3 linked regions of the Oryzias latipes genome follow. The protein of the gene in region 1 purifies or fractionates together with the protein of each later gene. This does not show direct contact. Links are inferred from orthologs where the notes say so. Each region holds a gene or a part of one and is shown in the gene's direction. Other genes may lie near its edges. The genes, in order: vps33a, vps41 and tgfbrap1.

Region 1 (3,004 bases):
GTCTGCCACGCACAGATAAGACCCAGGCTTTGTCTCAGTGAAGCAAATGCTAAACAACGGAAGAGTGATGGCTGAGGGCTGACCGTCCATCAGCGCTGGGGCTGGTGTCTGTGGGTGTATGTGCGTTTGGCCAAAGTTCTGAAGACAAAAATACGTATTTGGTCATGAATTTGTTTTGGCAATAACACCCTTCCAAGTGAGAAATCATTAAACACTTCATTAGAAGTAAACAAACGGATGTGCTAGTTGTCTTGTTGCTACAGGCCTGCCATCTATTGGTTTATAAAGGTGATAATTGGCAATTTTCAGGCAAGGCGATGCAGCTATTTTAGAGTTTCAACAGGGAGTCTTTGGCAATTTTCCTATTTTTACCAGGAATTGGAAAACCTGAATGATATTTGGGATTTGTGGGATTATTTTCTATTTTTTATATCTTTACTATTTCTGTTTAACCCCCCACCCACCCACAGGTCAGCAGGGGGAAAACCGAACAACGCTGGTCTTCTTCCTCGGTGGAGTGACATACGCAGAAATATCTGCTCTCCGATTCCTCTCTCAAATGGAAGACAGCGGGATGGAGTACATCATCGCAACCACAAAACTCATCAATGGCACAACATGGATTAAGACCCTCATGGAGGGTATTTCTTGGAGTCCAAAATAAAAAAAGCAACTTCCTCCTAGATTTGGTCATGTCATAAGCGTGTTTTGCTTGCTGCTTAGTGGGTCATTTTTGGGGGAAAAGCAGAAACGGCAGTGTATCCATCAGCTGTGGTCCAGCTCACTGAAGAAGCAATTAGCACAGTAACAGGCCTCCTGATCAGCCGATAATAGCCCAGTGCTGCCAGGAGAGCTCAGCCTCCAGCCGCCTGTGATTTGACAGCGCAGGACACTGATTTAATTAGGAAGCCATTTGCTCCATGTTCCGGTGGAGGATAACTGTGCTGTGGGAGGGTGTTTGATCTCTGTGTCAGTCAATAGCTTCTCCATGCCCGCCACTGTATATACAGGAAAACCTGCTGACAGATATTTTTGCTGCTTTCCAGTCAATGTAAATGTCTTCTGTGCTGGTTTCCTAAAATTGTAAAATATTTAGTTGAATTCTTGTTTTGCTTTTAAAATCTGCTTTCTTTGGGAAGATAAACATGCCGAAGATTTAAATTGGGAATAAACGGACAGCAGTTGCCTTGAGATCCATGTGGTCAGTTTTACTTTTGCTCCCTCCTCTGCAAGAAGAACTTGAGACGCTCGATTCTGCACACGCAGATTTGGAGCAGACGGCTGAAGCACAGCAGTCCACCCCCAGCTGTCCCGCTTCAATATCATCAAGGTATGGAAAGTTTGCTTCTTTTAAAAATGGGAAAATATACCTCGACTTTTTTATGACGCCACAGGTCAAATCACCTGTGATGAAAACATTTATTTCAAATAACTAATTAAATTCATCTGAAGATTTGTTCTGAGATAGTCCAAAATAGAGCTTAAATCATTTTTTTGCATTTTACTGAAAATGTTTTAGTTGAACATGAATGTTGTGTTTTTGTTTTCTGCCGAGAAGTCATTTTAAGAAGTGAAAAAAGCTAATCAATACACTTAGAGCAATTTAAATATTAATTATTAATCGGGGTCCTTTTACTGTACACATCCTTTGGCTTCTGAGAGGCTAAAAATTCTTGTTTGGCATTTTTACTCCAAACAAACTGCACGGAATTTACTTGAAAAACATTAATTTTCTAGTTTAGAATGTACTAGTTAGCTTTCTATCTTTCTGAGCCTGATCTTCAACCAAATTTGGGTACAGCTACACTTTTATTCTTTTGATTGTAAGCACGTGCATCCTTCTCTATGCCATCCTTGATACATAAACGAGTTGTTGTTTTTTTTTTGCTATTGCAATATGACAGGTGTGTGTATGAGAGATGGGTCGAGGGGAGAACATGGGACACCTGACTCAGCCTGGTCAGAGGCCGAAGGTGCTGGAGGTGCCAGTGGACGTGGATCCTCTGATCATCCGCTTCCTCCGAACATTCAAAGAAGTCCTCAAATTTGTTCTCTTCAGCTACACAGTACTGTTCGGTGGTTTGCTCCTCGCGAGGTGGACCACTTACTTCATGGTGGGCAAATAAAGTTTTGACCTATGAGGCTCAAGCTGATCAAACAAGGTCTCGTTTTTTTTTTGGGCTTTTGCTGTTCTTGCAAAACAACAGTAGCGTTTATGATGCCTGTTTTCTTCTTTGATTGTGGCAGCCCTAATGCCTTTTATATGTTTTTTTTTAATGAATCTAAAGTAGGCCTTAACAGGAACTTTGAAGAAACTGAAATTGTTGTCAAGCCAGCTTGCATTCCATGTGATTGTCAGCATTTTGTCCATATGTGCAATTCCATATCTGTGCTGAAGCACAGTAAACATGTCTGTATGGTTGTATAATGAGCAGTATATTCCTAGAAAATAAAATGTTTACCTACATTTTTGTCCACAGACACATATTTTAAAGCACACAGTCTCGGTGGATCTTACCCGTCTCGTGAATTTGACCTCCAGGCGAGCAAGAAAAACACCTGGAGGCCAGAAACAAACAGAAGAACACTAAAACTTTAGAGTCATTTGAAAAAGGTGACATCTTTGAGCAACTCGGGTGGATGCAGCCTCATCAAAGCATGCATCCTGTAGTAATAGCATATACAAATACTTTATAGCGTCCCAATACAGTTGAAAGTTAATTTATAGGAGACAACATCAGCAACACTTTTTAAACTGAGATACCATAAAAAGTGTATGTGATTTTCCTGTAGTGACAAGTAGAAGTCATGTGCCACACTGCAAAATTGATTTTGATATGTGTCTTTGTGTGTGTGTGTGTGTGTGTGTGTGTGTGTGTGTGTGTGTGTGTGTGTGTGTACGGTGTATATATAGATAGATAAAAAAAAGATATATAAAAATAAAAAACTTCTCTGAAATAAATGAATAAATATTTTTCCCACTTAACTTCACGTCATCGTTTAG
Region 2 (3,657 bases), on another chromosome or scaffold:
TCTGTGGGGATGAAGTTTGCCTTTGTTGTTTGATACGCCTTTGAAATCCGTGACAAATGCCCTCGCATCAGAAATCTCACAACCAGAATACACAGGAAATAGCCTAGATATGGCGTTGTTGAGTGGGAAAGGATTGTTTTTGAAAATAACATTTTTTCCACGCTATTGTCCCCCACCTCCAACCCAGTAGCACATAATGGCAGACAATGTTTTGAGTTGATGCACCCTCTGGGCAGCCACAGACTGTGCAGTATTGGTTATAAACCGAATTATGAGTAATATTCAGGCTGTGACTGGCTGCAAATGTTGACTCATGCTGGAAAGTGTAACACAGTAGAATACTTTAAGTTTGCTTTATGAAAACAATAAATTCACGCGTCTCACTGGGGATAAACGGCATTGAGAAAAGATGAAAAATTGTTGTTTTAGGCCTTTCATGCAAGGTAATGAAAATTTGTCCCTTTTTTGGGTATCTCCTACACATATACATGTAAACACTTCTCAAAATAGATTGGTTCTATGCAGAAATACTCTTTCTTGATACAATGACAGAACTCATTTTATTTAGCCAATAGCATATAAAGGTATGAATCCAAATAACACCAGATAATACCAGTTATTTTAATTAAAAAGGTATATTTAAGCTTTAAATGAACATAAAGGTCAGTAACACGCATGTACCATAGTATGAGCATCGTATTGTTTTAAGTTTACATTTTTTAACCAGTAGTCTTTCTCATAGTCTGTTTTCCCTTCTTATCTTTGCCTTCTACCTTTAGATTTTCCACTTTTTTTATGTTGTTTTAGGAGGTAAAAGGACAAAAAAATGTAGCAAAAATCCCCTTGAGAATATTATGGCATAGTATTTTAATAACAGGAATATTAAATAAGTAAAAAAAAAATTTGTATCTTTAATATATTAAATGCTTCCAGTCCATACATTTGTGCTGCTTTGCTCTTTGACATCACATTTTTTAAATCTATTTGTTAATTTATTTAATCTCCTAATATCGGTTTTATTCACTGCCTGCTGCTTATAAAGTGATACACTTCATAGAAATTGTTTATTTCAATATGTCAGGCTTGGATCGTACTTTTACAAATTTCGCAGTTTTAGTTTGTTTAGCAAAAAGGGAGCCGGTTTAGCTCGTGCTGGTTTGCGGCGCCTTCCAACCGTGAAACCAGGGTTCAACTCCGGGCTGCTCCCTGTTCCCTTCTCTTCCTCTGTGCCGGTCCCAAGCCCGGTTTGAGAAGGTTGCGTCAGGAACGGCGTCCGGTGTAAAACATTGCCAAGTTTACCATGCGACTTGTTCACTGTGGCGACCCCTGATGGGAGAAGCCGAAAGAGGAAGAAGAAGTTTGTTTAGCAAAAAAAAAAAGGATCTGCTGATGCTTTTTTGTGGAATTAGTGATGCCATCCAGTTTTATTTGTGGAAAAACAACATTTAAACATCTTTTAAAATGTATTCTATTTCTTTTTTGCCTCATTGACACAAGTTGAAATAATTAAAAATAGGCTTTAATGATCCAATCGGATCCCCTTCTTGATTTATTTTAAAAGTTTTCTCTGCAATCTTTTGAAGATGATTATTCCTTTTTAGCCACAATCTTAAAACCTGCGCCGTTTTCCAGGATATAGTTTCTGCGGGGTGAGTTCATTAGAAATTGGTCTCTTGGTTGTGGGTTAGGGCCCTTGGCGCATAGCAAACCCCGCCCCCTTTCCCCTCCCCGTTGTGGAGCAGGGAGCTGAGTCCTGTGTATTTTATGTTGCAGATGCAATCTTTATCAGACTGCATTTTTTTGTCTGCTCCTGATTCACAACAATTTTGAATAAAGAAATACTCAGAAATGCAATTTTGAGCTGAATTTTCTTTATATCTGTCTGCCATCATCAGATTAATTGGAGTTGTTTAGTTGGCTTATATGAGCTGAGAAGTCCGTGTTATGGACATATTAATAAAGACAATATTTCCTTAGGTGTGGATCTTAAATTCATAAAGTATGCAGTTTAGGTTTATTAAGTGAAGAAAAAGGATCTTCTGATGCTTTTTTTGTGGAATCGGTGTTTCCATCTTGTTTTTCTTGGTAGAAATAGAAAAGATGAACACCTTTTAAAATCTTTTCTAATTGCCTTTTGCATTGATATTAGTTCAAACTGGGTTTTTAATTTCTGAAGCATTCAAAGTCATGTCTTTATGTAATATTTGAAATAAGCATTTAGAGAAAGGGGTCTAAAACTTCATATGTCACATCAGTTTGAAACCAACAGGAAGAGAACTTTTTGCATATTTCAACACACTGCACGGACGTCTTTGAAAGTGTCTTTTGTAACTTCTGTGAAGTGGCTGTGTGTAAATGACTACCTTTAAGAAAGTGTTGAGTGAAAGCCCATTTCCCTCTCCGAACCAGGAGGAGGACAGTGAGGAGGAGGCCAAGTTAAAGTACGAGAGGCTCTCCAACGGGGTGACAGACATCCTTAAGAATGACGCAGCCAGCTGCATGACCGTCCACGACAAGGTAAAGGTGATAATCCCCCCCCCACGCCCGCCGGGGCTTTTCAGTTTCAAGTCCAATCATTTCAGCCAAAGATTTCCCTTTGTTTATGTGTGCATTTGAGAGATGTCATCTTCAAAGTTGGTTTTCATCCCTGCTGCTCAATCTGCAAAGGCAGCCCATTCTTTTCTCACCTTCCTCTGCTTTTCCTCTCAGGGAGGTGCATCAAAAGCCACTATTGTCTTTTCCTCTTTTTATTCCCACTCCTACATATTTTTCACTCCTTTCCCATTTGCTGAATGTTGATATGTTTAAGAGGCACACTCCTCTGCGAGATGCTTAATCGTCGTGGCACCGGCAGCACACTTGCACGCCTGGGTAGAGCGAAAGTCATACCCAGTTACGTCTCCTCACCTGATGTTTTATTAACTGCAGCTGATTTTCATTTATTTATTTGTTTTGTGTAAATCTGCTCCCCCTTTTCTTTTTCCCTTCAGAACGGGCCTCAGCTGAAAGATGAGCGATCCGAGAACATTTTTAATTTTTCTTTTCTCCGTTGTTGTGCACCTTCAGCCATTCAGATGTGGTCACACCAGCCCCCTCCGCCGTGACAAAACTCCCGCAACCTTAAATCACCGGGAGCACATATTGCCTTATGTTGCCTCATATTTTAAGTGTCTGAATCGGAATTTCATTTGAACAATTCCATCCTGATAAATCCTTTTAAAAGTCGCTCCGCCTCACAAGGTTGAACCTTTTATTTATTTATTTTTGGGTTATTTTATTTGGAAGATTGCAGGGGCTCTGTCTGACATGCTCAGCTGTGCCTGTAAATATAAGCATTTCATTATAGACTGCACTGAAGCATGGTGGGCTCGCCGCACATCCACATGCTGCTCCGGGAGGGAGGGGGGATTAGGAGGAGGGCGCCGAGCAGGGACTTGGTAGAAGAACACACACTTAATCTAATGCCAGAAGCCCCACTTTCTATAATGTTTTTGTCCCTGTGGACTGAGGCAAACACACACACACACGTTCAAATGCACACCCGCGCTTTTGCTGAAGCGCGACTCCCAGGAACCAGTTGCTGCTCAGTAGTCTGTTCTGGGCAAGGAGGTGATTGGGTTGCATGCAGAGCATTGAAGAAGTCAGATGTACAGTGCA
Region 3 (3,657 bases), on another chromosome or scaffold:
TTTTTCTTTTTGTATAAGTTTTAGCAGGATCAGTGTTAGGTGTTAATGGCAGGAGGGAGGACATTAGTCAAGTTTTTTTCTTTAATAATTCGGAGCAGCTTATTTCCGTGCTGAGTTTGTGAGTCGTATATAACAAGAGTCGACCTTCTGTGGTAGCAGACCCATTGCACGCTACATGTCTCCGACTGACTGGTGATTGTTTTGAAAATAAAGCAGACATGTCTAATCACTACGCTGCAGCAGAACGATCCTCTTCAGCAAATGAAATTCCTGACGTTGTGACTTCAGTGTTACTCATTTGGGTTATTCTAATAGTTTATTTCTAAGAGAAACCAGAAATTTTGCTGTCTTAAATAATTTTAAGGCTCAAATGTGGCTCTGAAAGCTCTGTATGAAATCAGCATTTAGTTGAAAATATTATCAGAACAACTGGAATTTTGGTTAAAAGTTTTTTTCAGGGAAACCTGAAAATACGAATCAATAAACACTGGCCTCTTGAAATGAGGTGTTTAAATATGACAGTAAGTATGACCGCTCTCAGCTTCTTTAGCCTGAAGTTTTGCTTTTGTTTGCATGGAAGTGAATGAAGAGGCTGGAATTGATTTTAACTGCAGTGTCAATCAGGAGTAAGGGAGGTATTGGTTTTACTTGTTTATCTTCCTATTTAGTAGAATACAGTTTAAAAAGTTTTACACTTTAAATGTAATCTTTTAAAATTTTTAATAACAACACATCAACAATTTTTTCCTCATTAAATCCCTCTCTGATCATCTTTTGATTTCTAAAGCATTCCCAGTGGTCTTATGATTTAATTATGATTATGCAGTTTTTAGCCAAAATATAAAGAACCTGTGTCGTTTTCTAAGACATAGTTTCTGCTGAGCGGCAGTAATTCCTTAGAAAGTCACCCCAAGTTTTGGGTGGGAATGATGGCACTTAGTAAGCCCGCCCTAACTTCCCGTCACCCATCTAACACCCATCCAACACGCTCTCCTGTTAGTTTACAGCCGCTCACAACCCCAATCTAACATCACCGGTGCAACAATATCAGAGTTTTGAGCCGGGTTCCAGCTCAGATGAGGAAAAGAAAGACATGCATGGATCTGTTTGTCTACAAGTGGACGCATCAGAATTGAACGGAGCACAGTTTGTGGCGTGCTGACTGTAGCTTTTACGCAACAGCTACACGCTTTTTCAAACGACATTTTTTTGTCTGCTCCTGATTCACATAAATTTAAATAGACAAATACAGATAAATACAACTTTATGCCTAATTTTCCTTATATATGTCTTCCATCATTAGAAAAATGCTTGTTAAAAATATGTTAAAAATATCCAAAACATAATTTTCATCAGCGTGTGTCTTTAAATGCTATCGGGATAGACGTCTACATTTTTTTTGTTTGTTAAGAATGCTTGTCATTCAGAAGATTGCTTTAGCAGGAGGAACTTATTGGGGGCTCTGTGTTTTTAGGGAAGGTCATTCTGGCCTCCACAAAGGCGGTGTACGTCCTGGTGCCTCTGCCTTTGGAGAGACAGATCCAGGATCTGCTGGCCAGTCACCGGGTGGAGGAGGCGCTCATGCTCATGGAGGGCGCACAGAGAAACATTCCCAAAGACAAATTTCAGGTAAACAGCAGCCCATCAATGTTTTTACATGGACTAAAGCAGTGTTTTGTTTTGTTTTTAAACTTTTTTTTGATTTAAGGTACATTCTTTTTTTTTTTTTATTTGATTAAAAATCACAAGGCACACCACTGAATGAAAATGTAAGAAAAAAGAATTTATGTTGTTTGTATGAACAATATATAGAAATTTTTGAACTGTCATCAAATAAATGAAAAAAAGTATTTAAGAGCTTTTATATTCCTAACTACTCAGTGTGAAACCTGGGCGTGTTTGAATGAACACAAAGCTGCTTTCCTGGATATGGTCAATGTTTTTTAGACCAATAGGGTGAACTCGAATCATTTACTACGCCAGTTGAAAAACACTGGACTAAAGCGAGATGAAAAAATGCTATTGGAGGTTTTGAGATCTTTTAAATATTTTAGGAACTAATGTTTATTTTCTTTCTTTAGGTTTTGCACAGAAGAATCCTCCAGCGAGCGGGGTTCATACAGTTCGGCAAGCTTCAGTTTCAGGAAGCCAAAGACCATTTTAGGTTTGTTCCATTCACTTAAATCTGTTGTTTTGTGACTAAACTGAGAGTTTTTGTCTTTGACACCAAGAGTCGAATTTTTTTCACTGTGAGAGTCAAAGAGCCACACCACACACAGACCTGCCAAGACGTACACACACAAACACACAATTAAAGCCGTATTATTTTCCATAAACACTCCTCTCCTTACAATACAACAGCAAGCATTGCACTTGTGTTTATTTCAAGGAAAGTGTCCACCCTCAATACACACATCAAATGGAGCTTAGCCAGAGTTAAGAGAGTCAACCCTGGAGGTCAGATACCCCCTCCACAGACACATCTCATACACACACACACACACTATCTCTCTATCTCACTCTTTTCTCTGCCTCTCTCTGACACACACAGCTACTCAGTGACGGGCAGTGAGGTTGATGGCTGGTGAGGCACCGACTCCTCTGAAGTCAGATTTACGATGATAAACATCTGGACAGAGCATCCTTCTGGTGTCTGAGTAATACATATTCACAATAAACACATTAATACAATGTGCCGGGAGCAGCATTAAAACACACAAACAGCCAAATTACTTTTATTATTATTTTTTTATTTATACCCTCTGATGGATTTGAGTTTGGTTTAAGAGGGAAAAAACTATGAAATGAGGCACAGTAAATAGAAAATATGATGAGACGCAAAGAGCCGCATGCTTATTGGCCGAGAGCCGCGTGTTTGCCCCCCCTGGTCTATGTTTTACCTTAATGATGTCAGTGGTTTATAATGTAGAAAAGAATTTTATGTCATATTAGAATAAGGAACTATTGTTTATCTAACTTTTTCTGGAACACATGAAGCTGTAATTGGAGAATAAAGAATACTGTTGAGTCAATAAAGCTTCGTTTTGAACTGGAACATTTTGGGATATGGTCTTCACAGCCTGATATTCTTCATTTATAGTCTTTATTATATAGAAATCACGTGTCTGGTATTTATTTACCCAGGTTCCTTTGGTTTTTTTTACTACTATAACTGCATTCAAAACCATGTAAAAAGAAATTCAGCTGTCAAGTGAACCTGTGTTGAGAACCTTAGTAGTACATATTTGTTTTGAAGAGTTTTTTTCATGTTTTGATTGAAGGCTTGTATTTGCTTTTTTCTCATTTTCTCTCTCGACTGTGTGGTGTTTGATGTCGTCCGACGTGGTCAAAGCTCAGACTCTCCTTGCCTTCAGGTTTCTGATCTTTCATCAACCTGCAATGTTTTTGTCTTTAGGAAGGGTGAACTGGATGTGCGGGAGCTGATCTCTCTCTACCCGTTGCTGCTACCCGCTTCTTCCTCCTTCACCCGCTTTCACCCTCCTCTCCACGAGTTCGCCGACCTCAACCATCTTGCACAGGGCGACCAGGAGAAAGTTCTACAGTGCAAGAGGTTCCTCATCAGTTATCTGAAAGAGGTAGGCGGATCAGACCCAGATGGATCCGAGCAGCTTTTGATCTGGTAGGTAACTAGTTTTC

What was found.
Region 2: the proteins of vps33a (region 1) and vps41 purify together in Homo sapiens (affinity purification with mass spectrometry; 5 studies listed by BioGRID and IntAct, counting the BioPlex papers as one, with this or other methods). This does not show direct contact. The link is inferred for Oryzias latipes from reciprocal best matches to the Homo sapiens genes VPS33A and VPS41.
Region 3: the proteins of vps33a (region 1) and tgfbrap1 purify together in Homo sapiens (co-immunoprecipitation; 5 studies listed by BioGRID and IntAct, with this or other methods). This does not show direct contact. The link is inferred for Oryzias latipes from reciprocal best matches to the Homo sapiens genes VPS33A and TGFBRAP1.

What each region holds. Positions count from the first base shown.
Region 1 is NC_019867.2:18,267,820-18,270,823, forward strand, and holds the end of vps33a (vacuolar protein sorting-associated protein 33A), read left to right. Parts: intron 1-470; coding exon 471-664; 3' UTR 665-1,330; intron 1,331-1,904; 3' UTR 1,905-2,467; downstream 2,468-3,004.
Region 2 is NC_019878.2:20,691,199-20,694,855, reverse strand, and holds part of vps41 (vacuolar protein sorting-associated protein 41 homolog), read left to right. Parts: intron 1-2,409; coding exon 2,410-2,517; intron 2,518-3,657. UniProt on the Homo sapiens protein: Plays a role in vesicle-mediated protein trafficking to lysosomal compartments including the endocytic membrane transport and autophagic pathways. Acts as a component of the HOPS endosomal tethering complex.
Region 3 is NC_019861.2:16,414,922-16,418,578, reverse strand, and holds part of tgfbrap1 (transforming growth factor-beta receptor-associated protein 1), read left to right. Parts: intron 1-1,474; coding exon 1,475-1,629; intron 1,630-2,081; coding exon 2,082-2,164; intron 2,165-3,415; coding exon 3,416-3,596; intron 3,597-3,657. UniProt on the Homo sapiens protein: Plays a role in the TGF-beta/activin signaling pathway. It associates with inactive heteromeric TGF-beta and activin receptor complexes, mainly through the type II receptor, and is released upon activation of signaling.